Elephas maximus indicus: one gene and its partner. The protein of the gene in region 2 interacts with the protein of the main gene of each other region in a pairwise test. Links are inferred from orthologs where the notes say so. Each region holds a gene or a part of one and is shown on either strand. Other genes may lie near its edges.

Region 1 (11,145 bases), on a different chromosome or scaffold from region 2:
TTTATTTCCCAAACAAAACAGATCCTACATATAAAAGGAAATTTTGGTAGGGGTTTTGGTGGAAGTGAAAGCCAGGTGACCAATGGTTCTGGATTTAGCACTGAAGGTCCCATGTCCCAGGAAACCGCTCAGTCCTAGGCAAACCAGAGGGTTGGGCTCCCCATAAAGACAAGGGGAAGTTGACTGTAGCTACACTTACTACAAGAGAGAGAGATTTTGAATTCTCTGAAGTTTGGCTTAATAGTTTCTGTATTGTTCTCTCAGGTTACATTGAGTTTAATACTTAGATGAGTACTAAATAGAGCAGATCAGGTTTTCATTCAAATTTTTAGTCTCTGTACAAATTAATCCCATTGGGTACTTTAAAAAAAATTGCAGTGCTCATTATTTCTTGACATGCTATAGTAGCCAAAATCAAGACCAGACAAATAAGTGTATTAATTTTGGATTATATTTCCTTTTCTGAACCTATTTTTGGACTGCAATTTGTTCTCTTCAAAAACAGGCTTACTTCCTCGGTGAAGAATTTGTTCAAATACAAGACTTTATGAGTAATCTTCAGAAAAAGAGGCAGCAGGTTAATTTTACTTTAAAAACTCTGTTGGATGCTAAAGCTGGTAGGATGTGCAAAATTATGGGTTTAGGCTGTTTTAAAATCGTTAAAAAAAAAAAAAAGGTTACTATTTTTCATCCCAGTCAATATTTTTGAGTTCAAATTTAGTAGAGAGATGATAACAATTACTTAACTGAAAGTTGATCAGGCAGGTATTTTATATCCTGGTTCATTCTTCATGCTCTGTCACTGGGCCAGCCGACTCTACTTGTCCAGTTACCATGGATGGGTTCAGACCCTCCATTTTGTTGTTGACTCTCCAGTCAAAATGTCCAGCCTGAAGCATAGATCTAATCAAAATCATCCTTCTGCTTAAAGACTCTTACAGGCTCTCCCACTTCTCCCAGGATAAAGTTTGAAGACATTTCAGGTTTGCATGAGCTGATCCTCAATTTATCCAATAGGCTTATTTCCTGGCTGTCTTGTAGCCTCTTTGTATCCCTTCACTTCACCTTTCTCTTGTGTTCCAATAACATGGTACATTAAAAAAAATTCTGTTATAGTACAATTATACTATGCCTTTAATTGTAACAGGATATATATACATTCCAAAGTAGATATTGTATCTTATTCATCTGAGGATCTTTGGCACCTGGGCTACAGAGACTAGGTGCTCAGTAGGTGTTTGTGGGATTTGATTGACTGCAGAGGGGTCGTTGTTGTTAAGTGCTGTCAAGTCAGTTCCGCCTCATAGTGATCCTATGTACAACAGAACAAAATGCTGCCTGATCCTGCACCATCCTCACAATTGTTGGTATGCTCGAGTCCATTATTGCAGCCACTGTGTCAGTCCATCTTGTTGAGGGTCTTCTTCTTTTTCACTGACCCTCTACTTTACCAAGCATGATGTCCTTCTCTAGGAACTGATGCCCCCTGATAATATGTCCAAAGTATGTGAGACGTAGTATCACCATTCTTACTTCTAAGGAGCATTCTGGTTGTACTTCTTCCAAGACACATTTGTTCCTTCTTTTGGCAGTCTGTGGTATATTCAGTACTCTTCACCAGCATCACAGTTTAAAGGCATCATTTCTTCTCTGGTCTTCCTTATCTATTGTCCAGCTTTCGCATGCATATGAGATTACTGAAAACACCATGGCTTGGGTCAAACACACCTTAGTCTTCAAGGTGACATCTTTGCTTCTCAACACTTTAAAGAGGTCTTTCGCAGCACATTTGCTCAATGCAATGCGTCTTTTGATTTCTTGACTGTTGCTTCCATGGGTGTTGATTGTAGGTCCAAGTAAAATGAAATCCTTGCAACTTCAATCTTTTCTCCATTTATCATGAAGTTGCTCATTGGTCCAGTTGTGAGGATTTTTGTTTTCTTTATGTTGAGGTGTACTCCATACTGAAGGCTGTGGTGTTTGATCTTCATTAGTAAGTGCTTCAAGTCCTCTTCACTTTCAGCTAGCAAAGTTGTGTCATCTGCATATCACTGGTTGTTAATGAGTCTTCCTCCAATACTGATGCCCCTTTCTTCTTCATATAATCCAGCTTCTTGGATTATTTGCTCAGCATGTAGGTTGAGTAGGTATGGTAAAAGGACACAACCCTGATGCACACCTTTAGGGGGTTATAGCTTTATCCTTAAGGACTATGTGGTGGATGTGGTAAAGCTTTGAAAGACAAGTAATGAGCTAAGTTGAGATAGAAGGCAGGTGAGGTAAAGAAGACCCTACCAACTCCTTTGGGAAAAGGCAAAGGAAGGCTGGTATGGTGGAACTAGTTATCCATAGACCTGAATTCTATCGCTCTTTTACCTTTAACTAACTTGTTAAAATTCTCCTGGAAGTTAAATTCCCCTTTCTGCCAAATGAGAAATTTGGATATTTTAATGATATTCAATTTTTTGGTTGGCTTTAAGCAGTGGAAACATTTTTAGTATGAAATGACAGGAGAAATCCCAGTGTAGTGGGAGTGTGTATTTGAGGTGAAAAAGTTGGTGGGGATGGGATAGCAGAGTACAGGGCAGGCACAAACCCAAGGACCTTGGCAGCACCACAAGGCTTCAAGGTCCTGGCACAATTTCAGTAACCCTGAGGGGCCCTTGTTCTACAAAGATTAAGAAAGCATCAGCAGACACACTTGCATATTAATTGGCAAAATAAATAAATAAATAAAAAACACATACAATAACTTTGTCCAAGCAATTGAAAGGGCCTTAAGGATTTAGATGGCAAATTAAATAAGAAAAGATCCAAAATGTCTTTTTTGGAAAATTATAGTGAGAGGTACACTGGGCTGAAACTAGTGTCCCCCCATCTAGGTCAATTGGCTTAACATAGTTTATTAAGAAAATGTTCCACATTCCACTTTGGTAAGTGGCATCTGGGGTCTTAAAAGCTTGTGAGTGGCCATCTAACATACATAAATTGGTCCTATCCCACTCAGAGCAAAGGAGAATGAAGAAAACCAAAGACACAAGGAAAATATTAGCCCAAATGGCTAAAGGACCAAATGAACCAGAGACTCCACCAACTTGAGACCAGAAAAACTAAATGGTGCCCAGCTACCACCAATGACCACCCTGACAGGGAACACAACAGAGAGTTCTGAACAGAGCAGGAGAAAAATGTAGAACAAAACTCAAATTCACCTAAAAAGACCAGACTTAATGATCTGACAGAGACTGGAGGAACTCACAAAACTATGGTACCTGTACGCACTATTAACCCAGAACTGAAACCATTCCCAAAGCCCACTCTTCAGACAAAGGTTAGGATTATAAAACAAAAAATAATACACATGAGGAGTGTGCTTATAGTTCAGTCAAATATAAGAGACCAAACGGGCAGCTCCTGTCCAAAAGCAGGATGAGAAGGCAGGAAGGGACAGGAACTGGTCGAATGGACGCAGGGAACCTGGGGCGGGGCGGGGGGGAGTGTGCTGTCACATTGTGGGGATTGCAACTAATGTTACAAAACAATATGTGTATAAATTTTGAATGAGAAATTAACTTGAGATGTAAACTTTCACCTGAAGCACAATTAAAGCAAAAAAACAAAACTGGTATCCCCAGCCTCCATCTAACTAGCCCCTTCTCACCTTTTCATCCTTGAAAAGATGTTGTGGGCAGAATCCACATATGGAAGTGTCAAACTGTTTTAGTTTCCTAACTGAACAGATTCCTGCACCATGAGAACATTTCCACTGCAAATGTCCTGCTCTTTACTGAAGCTGAGCACTTGAATGGGCAGGACTGGTCTTGTCTTTACACTCTGGGTTTCCTTTTCATACTTGCTGTCTCTCTCTTCTGGGGAAATGTCTTGAAAGCATGTCTTTAACACTCCATCCTCATGGTGTTTTTTTCTCTCTAGTTCTTTGCTTCTGCATTTGCCCTCAAAATTGGGGGTTAGCTGAGTCCCCCAAACCATTTCCTGACCCATGGATTGCGTCTGCAAGCCTTACTTGTCCCTCAACAATGATTATTGCTGACGCTTGGCTGGCTTTTTTCCTGTTCAATTCTTTATTTCTGCTGAAGCTCATTTGTAGGCAACACTTCTGAAAATATACTGCCTTAACCTCAATTTTTTTTCTTCTTGTTCATGTTGAGAGACAGAAGTTATTTAGGCAATGAGACTGAAGATGGTTTACACAGATGTCTGAGTTAGCCAAAAAACACATTGTTCTTACCATTAACATTCCTCCTTACTGTCATAGAAGCATAATTTAAGCAGCGATAACCACAAAATTATTCATATTCTACTATTGACCCTCTCGCTCACTGTGAGGCTCATCTAGAACATCTAGAAATTCTAGAACTTCTTTTGAGAGTTCCTAAACAATGACTTCCCCTTTTGTGGTAGAACCGTATTATAAAACTAAAAAAGAAATTCAGTTTAAGTATCTGGCTTTACTTGCTTAACACTCGCTTTCATTTCAAAATGACCGTAAATATGAATACTGCAATATTTCCATCATTTCTTTAAATGCATTTGAAGGGAACTTACAGTTCTCCGGAGGATGCCCGTATGATGATAATCCCCCTTGCTCCACCATAATGCTGTTGGCCTAGTGAACTGAATGCTGTAATCCTGTGAACAACACTTCAAAAATGATTTAGAAAAGCTAAAGTCTGTCTTGTAAACCCCAGAACTTGTCTCCGAAATCTTGCCTCGATCGGCTTCCAAAGTGTAATGTAACATGATTATTCTCCTCTGGGGAAACCTGCGAAACAGGTCTTCGAACTCCATTTAATGTGTCAGAGTTTTAATTGATTCTTTACCATGCCTATCCACCCCATAATAGCAGTGTAAAGCACAGGACGTGTTTTACGGGAACAGTCACCCAGAGCTTAATTTGTTGTTGCTCAGCAGATAGACTATTTCACAATGAAAACAAATCTGTTTTGGATCCAGAGAATTTCTTCCTGATGAAGTGTGCTGGGCTGATACTGAGAGTGTAACCCTTGATATCCTCCAGTTAGCTCTGATGTGGTTGCAGGGAAAACTTAGCCACTGTTCCTTGTTCATTCTAGAAGAACGTTTTGGTTGACAAGTAGAGTACCACAGAATTCTTTGATCCCTGAGTCCATCTACTTTTCTGTTAGTCCTTGGACCACAAGGCAGGGGTGATCCACATGCTCTTATTATAACCCCATATAAAGCACCTTCACACATGCTGTCTCACTTGACCCTCACAATAACATTGTCAAGATGTCAGGGAAGGTATCATTATCCCCATTTTACAGATAAGAAAACTGAGGTCTAAAGAGACTTGCAACCTACTCAAGGAATCACAGATAGTAAGTGGCTGAGTAAGGACTAGAAAGCAGATATTCTTTTCAGTAATTATTGTCTTCCTAGGGGAATTTTTTTTTTTTTTTTAGGGGAATAGCCAAAACTGGTGCACCAAGGGCTTACTGCAGCAGAGCTCCCCCCACCTCCCATTTTTTTATTTGTTTACTCAATCATCAAACATTTGTAGTGAGCATGAATTTTCCAGTTCAAAATTCAGATCTGCGAAACAAAGGTAGCTTTATTTTTCTATAACTTCTGTTACATTTTCTCTTGGGTCCTCATTCCTCCTGGTGGCAGAAACTTAGTTAATTCCAGATTTTCTGAGCCAGTTCAGAGATTTCTCCATGTCACTTTCTCCCCAGGGTTGTGTATAAGTTCAAGTCCTTGGAGTGTGTGTGTGTGTGCATGACTGGGATAGAGCAGGCATCTGGCGTTCAGTGGTCTTCTTTCTACCCTGACTACTGTTGAAATGTGTGGCCTCTGAGCACGACCTAGTCAGGCTTTTAGCTGTCGGGTTTTTAGTTGCTGAGAGTTCTGCATTCCCAGTTGGTCTCCCAGTGTTTTCTAAATTCTGACATCTATTGTGATATTTTTGTTCTGATATCGTAGCATCTGCAGAACCGTTGGCTCTTTCAGCTATCTTCTATGCCTTCTTTGTGTGTGTGGGAGATGTTTGACAGCTCTTCTGAGCAGTTCAGGGAATCTCGGGAATTCCACAGGGCTATCACAGGCCCTCTCAGTCTAGCTTTGTCAGGCACCGTTTTAATTCTAAAGCTGCCGTCTCCAATCCTACTGTGTATGGGGATGCACAGAAGAGCCCATTTCCCCCATCTTTTCAATATCACCTACAGTAAGGCACAGGTTTCTTTTACTCTGCTGTCGTTGTTTGCTGTTGGGTCAATTCCGACTCATCGTGACCCCATGTGACAGAGTAGAACTGCCCCATAGTTTCCTTGGCTGTAATATTTACAGAAGCAGGTTGACAGGTCTTTCTCCCATGGAGCCCCTGGGTGGGTTTGAACTGCCAACCTTTTGGTTAACAGCTGAGCGCTTAACTGTTTGTGCCACCAGGACTCTTTTTCATTTACTCTAGGATCTACCAAATCGGCATGGGGTTTCTAATCTCCTTAGCCACAACCAGATACCCTCACCCCTGGCTTTAACCCAAAGAAGAGAGGACAAGGTGCAGGAGCTTTCTCTGGGGCACTTACCGTCATCTGTCTTGCTGTCTTCTCTAGCTCTCCTCTCCTCTAGCGCAGGTTATTTTTATTTCCTCTGGGTTGGGGGTGGGATGGAGGGGTTGGTCCAACAAGTATCCATCCAAATCTATTGTTTGTATCAGGAGCTCATTTTTTGAAGACCGAAAGCTAAGAGTTAACTGGTTTTATTCTCTTTGTTTTGCCATGCCTCCCTTCTCTGAAGCAGTGAAGTTGGGATGCCTTGGCTGTCTAGACTGGGGAAAGAGCCACGAGGTACAAGTACCAGTGTGTGTGTGTGTGTGTGTGTGAAAGAGAAAGAGAGAGAGATTATCTCAATATTATCCCAATTTACGTGCCCAACGTGTTTCACACTCCCTGCTATGCGGAGAATAGAGAGACAAGTAAGTAAGATCTTTTGCTCACGTAGTTTACAATCTAGTGAAAGAGGCAGAGAAACAAACAGGTTGGTCCTAACATGGAATGCAGGCTAAGAGATGTGTGTACTATCTAAACCAGTGTAGTGGTGCTGGCTGATTGGAAGGATGTTAAGGAGCACTTGAGCCTTTCTCAAAGACCTAAGCAAAGATTTCACAATTCTACATCTCTGTTATTCAAGCTGCTTGGTGCTTATGACTTTGAGTAACTTACCTGAACTAAGATCCAAGTGGAAAGCCAAAGGTAACATAATAATAACACAATTAAATTTTTACATCTGTAATTTCATTGGACCCTCTCAGCTTCAGTGAGAGATAAGAGGGTTAACCCCATGTGGCCCGTATAAAGTCAGCGTTACTTATTGGCCTCTTCTAGGTACCACAGTGTGCTGAGAAACATCAATCTGGCATCGCAAAGACCATTTGAGCTTTTATTTCTCTCAGAAACCAAACCAAACCCATTGCTGTCCAGTTGATTCCAACTCATAGTGACCCTATAGGAGAGAGCAGAACTGCCCCATGGGGCTTCCAAGGAGCAGTTGGTGGATTCAAACTGCCAACGTTTTGGTTAGCAGCCAAATTCTTAACTACTGCACCACCAGGGCTCCACTCTTGTCTCTCACTAAATGGAAAACCCTAGAAGAGAATATGTTCATCGGTTAAAGCAAATCCCTTCCTCTTCTTTCATCTTCTCTTTTCTCTCTCCTGTTTTTCCCTCAAGGTCCCGAGATGGTGCAGTTTGCCCTCAAGTACTAACTGAAAGGTTAATGGTTTGAACCCACTGAGTGGTACCATGGAAGAAAGGCCTGCTGATCTACTTCTGTAAAGATTACAGCCAAGAAAACCCTACCGAGAAGCTCTACTCTGTAACACACATGGAGTCACCATGAGTCGGATTTGACTTGGCGGCAGCTGGTTTTTTAATTTTATTTTATTTTATTCTTCCTTCTACTTCCTATTTGTATCCTCTCTCTCTTTTGCTCTCTATCTATACATTTTACTTGGATCCACAATCAACACCATGGAAGCAGCAGTCAAGAAATCAAAAGACGCATTGTGTCGGGCAAATCTGCTGCAAAAGACCTCTTTAAAGATGTCACCTTGAAGAATAAGATGTGCCTGACTCAAGCCATGGTGTTTTCGATTGCCTCATATGCATGTGAAAACTGGACGATAAATAAGGAAGACTGAAGAAAAATTGACACCTCTGAATTGTGGTGTTGGTGAAGAATATTGACTATCACAGACTACCAAAAGAACAAACAAATCTGTCGTGGAAGAAGTACATCCAGAATGCTCCTCAGAAGCAAGGATGGTGAGGCTATGTCTCACATACTTTGGACATGTTTTCAGGAGGGACCAGTCCCTGGAGAAGGACATCATGCTTGGTAAAGTAGAGGGTCAGAGAAAAAAGAGGAAGACTCTCAAGGAGATGGATTAACACATTGACTGCCGCAATGGACTCAAGCATAACAACGATTGTGTGGGTGGCGCAGGACTGGGCAGTGTTTTGTTCTGTTGTGCATGGGGTCACTATCAGTTGGACCTGACTCTGTGGCACCTAACAACAACAACATCTATCTATCTATCCCTGGCGGTACAATGGTTAAGTGCTTATCTGCTAACCAAAAGGACGGTGGTTAGAACCCACCAGCTGCCCTGTGGGAGAAAAGACCAGGTGATCTGATCCTGTAAAGATTTCAGACTAGGAAAGCCTATGGGGCAGTTCTACTCTGTCCTGTAAGATTACCGTGAGTTGGAATCGACTCAACAGCACACAACATCTACTCATCTATCCGTCCATCTGTCCGTCCATCCATCCATCTCCCACCCTTCCTCTGTTTAGCTATCTCACATCAAAGTTTCTCATTGCCCACGCCAAACTTCCACCCCAAATCTCTCAAATTGAGCAAGCATAGGCCTTTTATAAATATTCTCCATTGTTTCATGTTTCAGTTTTCTCTGTCTTCTTCCTTCAGCCCATTAGCCCCTGTTCTTGTCAACATAAATCTAAATATTACCTTGTTCTGCATAACGTAGGTCTGGGAGGCAATCTGATAAAAACAGACCATCCTTAGCATGCTGGAGGTAGGACGATGGGATGATGGGGGAAGAAGAGGGAAAGCACAAGGAAGCAAAGACAGAATTTTCCTTATTGGATGGAGAAGGTGAAGAAATATTACTATTTGCAAGTATATTTTTTGATCCTGTCAAACCATTTTACACATGAGGGAACTGAGGTCCAGAGAGTAAAATAACCTGCCCAAGTGAGTGAGAGAGCTGTGATTTAAATCTGATCTTTGGTATCAAGTCCTGTGTTCTTCCCATGCATAAGTGGAATAAATTCTTGCTTTCTTCATAATTCAATTAAGAGGAATATTCAAATAACTAAAACCATTTCCCTTCTAAAAGCAGTAATGGAGGAGCAGCCAGTTAATGGAAAAAAGGCTCAAAGTCTAAACCCCAGAACCATGATTTGTTGATTCTTTGATAAGGTGGTGGTAAAGGCCCCCTGCTGCCAGCAGTGAGGGAGAACCAAGAGCGGTGGTGGGGTGGAGGGAGCTGAAGGCATTGTTTTCTAACAGCACTGGGATCAAGTCTAGTTCCAAAGGGCTAGTGTGCTGTCAGCCACACAGACTCCTGGGAGATCTGGGTTACTGATGAAGAAAAACATGTCTGTACCTGTCAAATGGCGAGCACAAGAAGCCTTTGGTACTGTTTTCCTGATTACGAGCTAGTACATGGCATGAAAGAATTCTTCCATTCTTTTCCTATATAAATATCAATATGATGGTAAGATAGTAGGAAAATATGGAAGAATTTTTTATGTCTTTCATGGACGTGGGTGTTGGGTTATTACAGGAGCTGCTCCCTTTCTGCTGTATACTTCTGTATTTTATTTTTTTTACAACATCTCTGTATTATATATTTTAATTGGTGTGTTAGACTGTTAAATTTTATGTGATTATTGGTATGTTCAAATTTAGGTCTATCCTTTTATTATTTTCTGTTGGTCTTCTCTATGTTTTGTTCTTCTGTTCCCCCTTTCTTGCCTTCTTTTGAATTGTTTAAATATTTTTAGTATCCTGTTTTAATTTATCTATTGGCTTTTGGCATATATATATATATATATATATATATATATATATATATGTACTGTTTGCTCTAGGGATTACGACATACATGCCTAAACTTTTACAGTCTACTTAGAGTTAATCTTTTACTACTTCAGATAAAATACAGATACCTTACAGTCTTTTAGGTTCCTCTACCCTTCCCCCTTTACATTATAAGTAGCGTATGTGTTACACCACATACATTGAAAACGCCACCTTACAATCTGTATTTTTTTGTTTTCAACAGTCATCTGCATTTAAAGAGCTTAAGAGGAGAAAAATAGTCTTCTCTGTTTACCTATATATTTACCATTTTTTGTTGCTTTCCTTTTATTCCTGAAGTTCCAAGTGTCCCTCTATCATTTCCCTTCAGCCTAAAGATTTCCCTTTAGCATGTGTTTTAGAGTCTGTCTGCTGGAGACAAATTCTCTTAGATTTCTTTTATTTAAGTATGCCATTATTTTACCATCATTCCTGTAAGATATTTTCACTGGGTATAGTAGAATTCTTTTGGGTTGATAGTTTTTTTCTTTCAGTGCTTACAAGACCATGTTTAATTGCCTTTTGGCCTCCAGGGTTTCTGATGAGAATAGTAGTCATGCTATAGTTTTTCTCTAGCTCCTGTCAAGATTTTTAAGATTTTTTTTTCTCTTTGGTATTTAACAGTTTCATTATGATGTGTCTGGGCATAGTTTTCTTTTTGTTTATCTTGTTTGAGGCTTATTGAGTTTCTTAAATCTGTAAATTTTTGTCTTCCATCAAGTTTGGAAAATTTTGGTCATTATTTCTTTAAACTTTTTTTTTTTTTTAATTCTCTACCAATCTGTTTTCTTCTTGAGTTCCAATAACATGAACATTGAACCTTTTGATATTGTCACACTGGTCCCTATGGCTCTGTTCATTACTTTTCAACCTTTATTCTATAATACAGATTGGATAATTTCTATTAATCTATTTTCAAGTTCCCCGACTCTTTCCTCTGTCATCTTCATTCACTTACTGAGTCCATACAGTGACTTTTTATTTTCAGGTAGTATATCT
Region 2 (11,470 bases):
TCTGGCTGCTTCCCGGATTGTGTGGCAAAGCTAATCCTCTGCAGGGCACAGCCACCCTACCGCCCTGAGTCTTACAGCGCTACTCCTGACCCCAGCAGCCCTCCAAGAGCATCCTGCTTCCATGGAGAGAAGGCTTTTCTCATTCCACAAATAATTATTGAGCATGTATTATGTGCCAAACACTGTTCTAGGCACTGGAAATATGGCAGAGAATAAAACAGAGACTCCTGCTGCTATTACAGAGTTGACAATTCTTCAATTCTTGCTCTGTAATTTAGGGGGCTGGAGTGGCAACAGTGTTCACATCCTTCACTCCTGGGCCCTGCTTCTCCCCAGAGCCCCAGCGCTGATCGCCTACTCCAGGAAGGCCATCCACTTTCAAATTCCAAGAGGTTTTTTTTCCCCCCTTGACAGTACAGAGTGCTAGGATGGAAATCTTAATGATTTTTCTCCAGCCCGAGGAGGGCTCCAGGCAGCTGTGTTGGAGGCTGAGTCCCGGCAGTCACTTCTGAGGACTAGACCCAGGCAAGGAGGGGGAAGCTGAAGTTCCTGGAGGGATGCAGGGCCACGAGCTGGGACTCTCATCTCTGCCAATTACCGACAGTGGACCTTGGCAACCCACTTTCTCTCTCTGAGCCTCAGTTTCCCTGCTTGTGAAGTGGGAGACCTTCTCTGCCTGTCCCCAAGTTTGCTGTGAGGATGAGATGAGATAAAGCATGTGAATGTGGTCTGTAAACTGTGGCACCCTGGACAATGGGGGGATTATTGGGTACAAAGGAGACCTGGAGGCTGGGGCTTGCCCCTTAAACCCTGGAAGGCCCCAAGGCAGGGTGTGCTTATGGGGGGGGGGCTGCAGCCCAGCCTCCTCTGTCCTAGGCAGAGATGTCAAGCTTTGAGAAAACAGAACAGAGGCTGCTTCTAATGAGATGCTTCATCCGAAGCTCAGAGGGTTTCGTTTTCCCCTTCATCTTGAATACTTAATCCTAATAGTCCTTGAGTATATTTGATGTTAAATATATCATTTTGCACAGACTCGCCATCCCTCAGGACTGTGGGCTTGATCTGTCCCTTGCCACTGCAGGCGGAGTCATAGCCTGAGGGTCCGACGGAGGCTTTGGCATTGCCATCAGGCCACCAGTGCTGCCACTGGCACATTTCGTGCCAGCCCCTCACCCCAGCCTGCTGGGGACAAGACAGTGTAGCAAGCACAGTGCCTGACAGGTCAGCAAGGGGCAGCTTCTTTCTGCAGAAACCTTCAAGCTACCTGGGGGCATTCACTCCAGAAGGGTTGCAAACTGACTCCCAACCCCCAGGGACCGCTTCTCCTCACTTTTGGGGTCTGGCCCTGACCCACAAACCAGGACTTGACAACGTGGAGCTGTTTTCCCACTCTCTTGCTCAGGTGTTGTGCCCAGGACTGTTCGTCCTAACACTAGTTCCTGCCAGCCTCCAAAGTACCCAGTTAGCAGCCATGCAGCTGGCATCCCCATGGAGAGTCAGGACACCTTGTGCCCCGAGCAATGTGGATTACTGAGCAGTGGGCTGCAGAGGCCAGTAGGGGATGTCAAAAGGGGATTGGTGCTGTGTGTAAAGGGCTGCTGTGCCCAACGGCTGTTCTCTCTGCACTCGAAGTCAATCTGGAGAAGGGCCTCCACAGCTAAGTTACAAAGCTGACCAGCAAGACCTGGAGGGTTTGGGTGGCTTGAGCTCTAAGCCAGGAAGGGACCTGCTGGGTTGATGGAGCAGTCATGAGCCACACTCATCTGGTGACCTCCCTTCAGCTGGAGGGTGGTTGTTAGGCAGGCAGGTATCCCACCCCCATGCTCACCCACACCCAAGATGCCTTCAAGTCCAAAGACATGCCTCCCACACCAGGGAGGAATACCCAGCTCCCCTGGGGCTGAGGGAGGTAATTTTGCCCAACACATTCCACAGGTGATGAGCACGTACTCAGTTCAACAATGCCAAGAGTGCTCCAAAATGCTCTTGAAATGCCTCTGGAGACAGCAGCCGAGGCCAGTTGATCAGCACCCAAGGTCACAGTGAGACAAAAGGGGGTGCTACGGGCTGCCTTACAAACTTCTAGGTAAGACCCAGCAGTTTGTCGCTGCACCTGGCAGGAAAGTCCTAAGGAAGGGTTCCTACACTGGGGGTGGGGAGGGTACAGGGAATGGGACTCAGTGCCTGAAGACCTGGGCAGACCAAATATTCCAGAACTCTGAGATGGAAGCTGTCAGATGTGCCTCAGCCTGAGGGCCCTGCTCCCAACACAGTGCAGCTGTCTCCAAACTGACCTCACAGAGAAGTAGTCAGGGTGACAAGTGCCCCTTCGCTGTGGTTGCCACAATTGACATGACAGAGTGATCCTATATACTTTGTCAGCAATCAGGAGGCCTCCTGGCCAAGTTCAGGTGTGCTGCCCTGCCTCCTGCTCACGCAAATGCAGCTGATGCACAGGAATTTACAACCAGCTGGAGTGGAGAAGGAAACCCTGGTGGTATTGTGGTTAAATGCTATGGCTGCTAACCAAGAGGCTGGCAGTTCACATCTACCAGGTGCTCCTTGGAAACTCTGTGGGGCAGTTCTCTGTCCTATACAGTTGCTATGAGTTGGAATTGACTTGATGGCAATGGGTTTGGTTTGGTTTTTGTTTTTTTTTTTTTTTTTGTTTGTTTGTTTAGAGTGGAGAAGTGCACAGTTGGAAGACTTTTCCCCTTTAGGTTTCTGGGGGGCCTGGGACAGGCCTTTTCAGAAGCTGTGGTCATAAACTGTTAGGTCTCATGGAGGCCTAAATCAATTCTGTACCCAAGCAAACAAGTCTCCCCCATGATGGCTAATCTAGCCTGCATGCCGGTCCTGAGAAGGCTATTCATGTAGAGTGATCAACTGTTCCACTTTGCCCCAGGACTGAGAAGTTTCTCAGGACGCAGGGCTTTCAGTGCTAACACCAGGACACTCTCAGGCAAACCAGGACAATTAATCACCATAATGGGTAGGTAGGGCAGTGGAACAAGGGATTAGTGGGGCCAGAGAGGAAGTCCAGGCAGCCAGGCCCTTTCCCTGTGCAGATCAGTAGCTGCCTCCTGCCCTAGCAGCTTCATTCTGTATTAATGGACTGTCCTAGCCCCTGGGGACTGTCCACAGATCAGTCAGGGTTGGGAGTTCCCCTTAAACAGGGGCAATTGGAATGGGGACAGTGTGAGTTAAACCCAGGGTTGGATCTAGATTTTCTGAGTATGGAAGCTTACTTATGTAATTTGGTAGTCTTTTTTTTTTTTTTTTTTTTTAACCAAAACGTCAGCAGTTCAAATCCACCAGCTGCTCCTTGGAAGCCCTATGGGGGCAGTTCTACTCTGGCCTGTAGGGTCGCTATGAGCCGGTATCGACTCCAGGGCAATTTTTTTTTTTCCTTGAAGAAACGCAACACACGATCAACGAAATCAAACCAAACCAAACCCATTGCTCTCTAGTCGATTCCAACCCTACAGAACAGAGTGAAACTGCTCCAAAGGGTTTCCAAGGCTGTAATCTTTGGGGAAGCTGACTGCAGCATCTTTCTCCCTCACAGCGGCTGGTGCGTTTGAACCGCCGACCTTTCAGTTAGCAGCCGACTTCTTAATCACTACGCCACCAGGTCTCCTTAATACAAGGTTAAAAAAAAAAAAAAAACTGCCGTAGAGTCGATTCCAACTCATACAAGATCACTGATACAAAACTACGGCCAGGGACCCAGCAGCTGAAGGGCCCTGAAGCTTAAATTTCATTAGCTTCAAGGTAAATCCGCCTCTGATTGAACCTGATATTTTGGACTATATGGCCCACCCACCTACTCTGGTCAGCGCAGCATCTGCCAAAACCCTGGGCTAGGTGACCCGATCGCGTTCTCCTCAGCCCTGCCAGGGGCGGAAGCGATGTAACCGGTCCCGCAGCTATGAAATCCCAGACCCGAGGGATCCCAGGACAATACTGGCTTGGTTTTCTGGGCACCCCCTGGAGGACTGGCTCTGCAGTCCGGTGCCTAAGAGGGAAGTGCAGGTACTCGAGAAGACAGGGAGACCGACACTGCCGCGGAGCCCGCGGCGCGGGCTAAGGGTCGCTCCTGGTGCCTGCAAGGCGGCAAGAGCCAGTGAGAAAGTTCGCGGCCGGAGCATGCTGAGCTGGAGGGCTCGAGGTGGCCCGTGAGACTTCCTAATGCCTCTGAGGAACCCCGGAGGCTGAGCCTGGCACCCCTGGAGACACACACACAAACACACGCGCGCGCACACACACAGCAGCCGCCGTGCTTCCGGGAATCAGCTAAACCGACCAGAGGAGGCCAAAGCGGGCTCGGGGGCCCAGCCGCCGCGGGCTGCGTGTCCGCTCCGCTCCCCACGCGCCTCCAGGCACCGGCGCAGCGCGTCGGGCACCTACCGTCTTCCTGGTCCAACACCATGGTCCCCCAGCAGCTCCAGCAAGGCCCGGGCCGAGGACGCGGAAGGGCTGCGCTGCTTCTCCGGCCCCGCGCGGGCTCCGCGCTCCGCGAGCGGCGGCCGCGGACCAGTGCGGGCGCCCGGGCGCCCGGAGCGCAGCTCGCTGGGCAGGGAGTGAGAGAGGGAAGACGCGCTGTCGCGGCGCGGAGGGGAGGCGCAGCCGCACGAGGAGACGCGGCGGGGCTGCCGGGCCGGGATCGCCGGAGCTGCGGGAGCAGCTGCTGCCGGCACCGGGCGGGAGATGCTGCGGGAGCCTTCGCGGAGCCGCCGCTGGCCGGGCCGGGCAGGAGCCGGAGCTGCAGCCACGCACCCGTTTTCGCCGCGCTGGCCGCGTTCTCTTCAGAAGAGTGAAGCCTGCATTTCCCAGGGCCCCTCAGATTCCCCTGTTAATTAAATCAATTCATTATGCTCAGATCTGATTAGCGGCCCTTCCCCCCCCCCTTTGAATCAATTATTCAATACACAAACATAATTGCTTGGGCCAGAGGTGCCCGCCATTAGCTTATTTAACTCCAAGGACACTAATTACCCGCAGGGCACGGGAACTTTTCTCATTAATTCTGACAAAACACAAAAGCACAGCCAGAGTGTGTGCGTGTGAGGGACCGTATGTGTGTGTGACCACATGCCAGTGTGAGGGGCTGTGTGGGGTGGTGAGCGACTGTGTGAGCTGAGGGTAATACTGGGGGGGCGGGGAGAGCGGGTTGGCCGAATGGTTGTGATTTCAGTTGAAAGTGTGGGAGTGTGTAGTTTTGAGTATGTGACAGTGCCCTTGTGAGTGTGAGACAGGGCATGTGATTGTGAGGGGCCCTATAAGCTCATCAGGCTGGGTGTGGCTGAGGGTCTAGGGGCTGTGGGCCAGGGTTTGAGACCCAGCATTGAAATGTGTATGAGGTTGTGAGAGCGCTTGGGTGTGACTTTGTACGACCCTGTGGCTACTATGGCAGGCGCCCCCATCTTTTTCTTTTTACTTTATTGCCCTCACCACTGCCTGCTGCATGTCCAAACCCACCATGAAAAGTGCAGACCACAACAGAGAAACCAGGAAGAATCAGGAGACTGTGGGTGGTGCTGGAACCAGACTGGGGCACAGAGGGGCTCAACCCTCTGAAGATAAAGGACTCCAACAACTCCCAATCCGACCCTCTCTAACACCTGTTTGTGCACTGGCTGGAGTTTGCCTGCCCGGTTCCCCAGTTATAAACCCTAGGTTCCCATCTCCCTCTTCCTTTGCCTTCTCACTATATTGCTCCCACTCTCCCCTTTTACCCCAAATTATCCCCCCCACATATTTCCACATGTGTCTGACACCCAAGAGTGCCCCCCAACTCCACCCACCCTACATCTAGTTCTTCACCTCCAGTTTGCAAGGCTGTAAGGAGGGTGTGCCTATGGTTGACCAATTTCTCCACATTTTACCTCCCAGGAAATCTCTGTTGAGAGAGCCCACAGAGGCAGGGACACAGAGGGTAATTGATTCCCTCAAATTAGGTTTCTGGTTTCTAAAGACCGGTATTGTTCCTGTTCTCAATGTGCACAGAGGTATTGAAGATTTCCTTTTTGTTTCCTCGGGCAATGAATGAGCTTAATCCATTTGGCTTTATAAATCAGGAAACTAATATTCGCTCCTTCCATAGCAGCTTTTTAAAATTTAATTGGTGGGGGAGGCGCAGTTAGTCACCCTTATGCTGTCCCCACCCCCCCCCCCCCACACTTATCAAAATATTTTCTGATAGGTGTGAAGAGAAGGCTCTTGGTTGGGCGGGGCGGGGGGGGAGCTCTTACCCTGATCTCCCCTGTCCTCCTCCATCCTTGCACTTGGACCCACACAGTTGGTATCTGGAAAAGTTTATGAAATGATTGAATGAATTCAATTTACTGAGGAAAGGCGGGGTGGTGTTCAGAGGTGCCCTTTTGAATGATCTCCCAAATTGTCTGCTTTCAATTTCCCACCAGCATGGAGTACAGACATGACATGCCCTGCCCAGGTATGGCAAGTCCTCCATCCTGCAGAGGTCACTAGAATCATCTTCTTGGTGCCAAGATTTGACCCTGATATTCTTCTGATCAAAACTCTCTCATGGCTCCCTATTGTCCTAACTGCTTACTTTATTATTTTAGGCCCTTTAATGTAATTGAGGGAGTCCCTGGGTGGCACAAATGGTTGAGCGCTTGACTACAAGCCAAAAGGTTGGCAGTTCAAACCTACCCAGAGGTGCCTCAGAAGACAGGCCTGGTGATCTGCTTCTGAAAGGTCACAGCCTTGAAAACTCTACAGAGCAGTTCTGCTCTGCTCACAGGGTCACCATGAGTTGGGATTGACTTTACAGCAACTCTCAAAAACAACAAACGTAATTGAACACATCCTGCAGGTTCTTGCTCCAGCAATTCTTCTCATGGCATCTCTTCTTAAAAAGACCTCCCCACCTCTCAAAATCTTGTAGGGACACAACTCTCTTCCCGATTCCCCTAAGTGGGTGTCTCTGTGTAAAATCTGGGGTTGCTGAATGGTGCATGGATTATTTCATTGAGATCTGGAGATAAGGTCAGCTCCTGGGAACAGGGTTTCAGTTTTCCTCTGGAGAGGATGACAGATGTGGCAGTGTCAGGAGCCTACACTGCCCAGCTACACAGAGGAAATGGGAGCTGAGGAGGCAGAGGAGGGAACCCTACTTTTCTGGGCTGCAGCCTCATGGCTTCCCCAGAAGAATGGAGGCTCAGAAAGACAGACTCCTAGAGCAACATCTTTCTTTCCAGATCCCAGATAGATGGCATGGAACTAGAGTCCAGGAGCTAGCCTCCCTCTAGAGCATCTCCACATTCTCTCTGTTTAGTTCTCTGTGTAGCTGGGCAGGGCTACTGCCTGGATATGTGCCAGCTGTTCCCTGCCCTAAAGCATCTGGCCAAAGGGGCAAGTGGGGACTGAAATTCTGTCATCTCTCTGCTCTCCAAGCCATGTGTCCTGGCATGAGCTGCACCACCCAGAGAGGGCACCACTTGCTAATTTGCACAGAGGTTCCATATGAGCTAGCACAGCCCTGCAATTGGGTATGTTGGATTGTCCAGAGTTCACACTGGGAGAGGTCAGCCTGACAGGCAAGCACCCAGCCTCCCTTGCCCCACCCTCACTCCTATCAAGGGCCTGTGGGGTCTCTTGAAAGACCAGCCTCCTGGTTTTCATACAGAAAGATAAATTTCAGAGAGCTCAACCATCATGGTGTGGTCAGGGACACTGAAATAGATGCCCAGCCCCATTCCGGAATATAAATGGGGCGCTAAGCCCACTGAACTCAGTCCACAGCTAGGACTCAGACATGGACAGATCTATCATAAGGACTGAGGTTCCCAGTGAAGGCCATGCTGGAGGAGGAAAATGAGATTTCTGAGAGGAGAGCCCCTTGGGTGAGCTAGACTGAGCAGCGTGGCCTGGCATTTGGAGGGACCAACAGTTTAATGTATAGCACAAGAATGGGTCTGGCCCACTCCCTATCAGTGCTCTAAGAGGGCAGTGGTATAAACAAGGAAATGGGTCACTAGGGGCCCTACAGCTTGGTTACAGAAGCCCTGAAAGAGCTGGTCACTAGAAGCAAATGGTATCTCTCTGCTGGGATGAGAAGGAAAAGAGCAGCAAGGGTCAGCAGCTGGGTGGGGTTGGCAGCAGCTTGTGGATAGAATGGACGACAGTCAAGCAAGATGGAGAGAGCAGCAGGCAGCAGCTGTAATGATATGGGTGGCATTTATACCCTCAACCCATCAACCCCCACCTCTCAATTTTGTGATTATCATAGACAAAATGACTTCATTCAGAACTCAAAATCTAGTGGCCTCCAGAGGGTACTTGGGTTATACGTATAAGCATTCCTGGAAGGTTTCATAACTTTTTGGAGAGGAGGATCCTGAGTCAGGAATCAGAGCATCACAATTTGGGTTTAATTGTTGTAAATGTGTGAGATTGGGTACTTTTCTATGACCTTTCTGTTCCAACCTGTCTTAGCTGAATGCTAGGCATGAAGAGAAAGGTCATATGAGCAAAAATGAACCAGAACAATAGTGGGGAAGCAGCCCCATCACCGGCCTTGCCTGGTGGTAATGGAGCTCAGTAGGAGATGCAAAGGGCACAGTGTGAATGTCAGACACTAAACGCTTTGCTCCCACTGCCTTTCCCTACCTGGAGAGTCTTCTGAAGCCACGCTTGCTCTCCATTGCTCCTGAACTACTGTTTCATTTCTCTTCTCCCTAGCCCTTTGATCCCCTTACCCGTTCCAGTCTCAGCAGATGAGATATGAGAAGGCATAAGGCAAGAAGGCCCCCTTCCTTCTGCCTCCAGGTCTAGGCTCCTACCTTCACCTGCAGCATCTACAACAAGCATACAGTCACATTCCCCTTCTCTCCTGAACGTTGGAGAAAATGTCCTTCCTTCTACCCTGGCCTGATCCCTCAGTGTGTGCTCTGGTCCCTTGGCTTCCACCTTTCAAGGCATCCCATTGACTCTCCCCCCATCTTCAATAGCCTCATTCTGCTAGACCTTTCACAATAGCCAACAAACAAACTCTGATATCTGATCCAAAGCAAGGAAACAAGCTCCCAGGACCCTACATCTTCCCGGAGATGCCTTGCTTTCTACTCTCCTTTATTGCCATGCTTTCTTGCTTCCCATTCTCTCCTTACCGATTCCTATCTGTCTTCAACCTTCACAAGGTTAATCAAGGATACCAATGATCTTGATGCAGTTAAAGGACTATTTTCAGGTCTCACCTTGCCTAGGCTCTCAGCATTTAATGCAGTTGGGCCTTCCTTCCTTCTTGAACATTTTTCTTCCTCAGACTAACACATAAGGAGTCCTGGGAAGCACAAATGGTTAAGCGCTGGACTACTAACTGAAAGGTTAGTGGTTGAAACCCACCCAGAGGCACCTTAGAAGACAGGCCTGGTGGTCTGCTTCTGAAAAGTCACAGCCATGAAAACCCTATGGAGGACAGTTCTACTCTGCACACATGGGGTTGCCATGAGTTGGAATCGACTTGATGGCAATTAACAATGACAGATTAACACATTCTCTGGGTTTTCCTCCCACCTTTCTGGACATTCCTATTGGTCTTTATTGCCAGCTTCTCCTCTTTCATCTAACCTTTAGCAGTTGGCAGTCCTTGGGAATGGGTGCTAGGCCTTCTTGGAACACTGTTCCCTGGGATGCCATCCACAGCTGTCAGGCCGTGTCTGACCATCACTCAGGATCTCTCCTCTGAGTTCTACACCAATACTTCCAACTGCCCATCTGACATCTCCACTTGGATGTCTCCATGGTATCTTAACTTTTAAAATCCAAAACTGAACTCCTGATATTTCCTCCCAAATCTTTCTTCATTTTGTCTCAGTAAGCCAGCCACCCAGTTCTGAATGCCAGAAATCTGGGAGTAAAGCACAATTTCAATCAAGTCAGAAAAAGCTAAAAGAAAAAAGGGGGAGGGGGGGAGAAACAATAAATAAATAAATAATATAAATAAGCCGGAATAAGTAAAACTAAGTATATTAGTATACTACGATAAATGTGCAAAGACTGAATTTCCCTGTCAAAAGACACATTGTCAGAGCTTAAAAAAACAAGAATGCAACCAAATGCTGTTTATAAGAAACACTCCCAAAACAAGGCGACAAAAGAGATTGAAAATAAAGCAATGGGTAAAGAACAAAATAAACCAAAAGAAAGTAGGAAGAAATTAATTAGGTTAAAATCAGAAACTAATGAAATAGAAAATAATAATAAACAAATTAAAACCAAAAGCTGGCTCTTTGAAAACACAAACAAAATAGTCACCCTTCCAGGCAAATCTGGTTAAAAAAAAAAAGAAGATGGAAAGCAAAATATCCATTAATAGGGAGAAGAAAAGAGCTAAATTACAGGTACAGAAAAAGATTAAAGAACTGCGACAATAATATTTGTAATCCTACGAAAATAAACTTGAAAACCTAGAGGAAATGGACGGTCTCCAAGCAAAGAAGAAAACTACCAAAATTGGACACAGAAGAAGGTGAAACCTGGAATAGGTCAATATGCAGAAGAGATTTGATAAGAAATTAAAACTCTTCATTAAAATAGCAAAGGCACAAACTATATTAAAAATAAGTTTTATATAATTTTTAAAAACAGATGATTCTAATGTTATTTAAACTATTCCAGAATGAGAAAAAGTTGGGAAGCTTTTTGGTTCATTTTGTGAGCTAGCATTTTCTTTAACTCTCAAACATTATAAAGATTGAATTTAAAAAGAAAGAAAGAAGAAAAGGAATCATAGTTTGAATATGAATACAAAATCTGAAATAAAATATTCACTAACTGGATATGGGAAGAGTATCAAAGAGTAATACACCATGACAAAGGAGCATTGATTTTAAACACCACAAACGTGATTCAACATCCACCAGGAAATCTATCAACATAAGTCATTATATCAACAAATAAAGAGGATAAAATATGATTATAGATGCCAAAAAGTCACTCAATAAAATTTAGTATATATTGCTCATAAAATCTTAAGCAAAACAAAAATAGAAGAAAACTACTTCAATCTGGTATAGACTATTCACCCAAATCCAACAGCAAATATGTAGACAATGACATTCTGAGGCCTGTTCCACAAATTGGGAACACAATAGGATATTCACTATCATCACTATTTGTTATGGATTGAATTGTGTCCCCCCAAAATATCTATCAACTTGGCTAGTCCATGATTCCCAGTATTGTATGATTGTCCACCATTTTGTCATCTGATGTGATTTCCTTATGTGTTGTAAATCCTACCTCTATGATGTTAATGGGGTGGGATTAGTGGCAGCTATGTTGATGATGCAGGACTCAATCTACAAGATTAGGATGTGTTTTAAGACAATCTCTTTTGAGATATAAAAGAGGGAATTGAGTAAAGAGACAAGCGGACCTTATACCATCAAGAAAGCAGTGCCGGGAGCACAGGATGTTCTTTGGGATCCAGGGTTCCTGC

Evidence for each region.
Region 1: the proteins of LMO1 (region 2) and PTPN3 interact in binary tests that used the Homo sapiens proteins (3 or more experiments, as listed by UniProt). The two-hybrid records come from large-scale screens. The link is inferred for Elephas maximus indicus from reciprocal best matches to the Homo sapiens genes LMO1 and PTPN3.

Annotation. Positions count from the first base shown.
Region 1 is NC_064827.1:59,012,224-59,023,368, forward strand, and holds the start of PTPN3 (tyrosine-protein phosphatase non-receptor type 3), read right to left. Parts: upstream 4,736-11,145; 5' UTR 4,616-4,735; coding exon 4,567-4,615; intron 1-4,566.
Region 2 is NC_064825.1:63,481,878-63,493,347, forward strand, and holds the start of LMO1 (rhombotin-1), read right to left. Parts: upstream 4,448-11,470; 5' UTR 4,433-4,447; coding exon 4,411-4,432; intron 1-4,410. UniProt on the Homo sapiens protein: May be involved in gene regulation within neural lineage cells potentially by direct DNA binding or by binding to other transcription factors.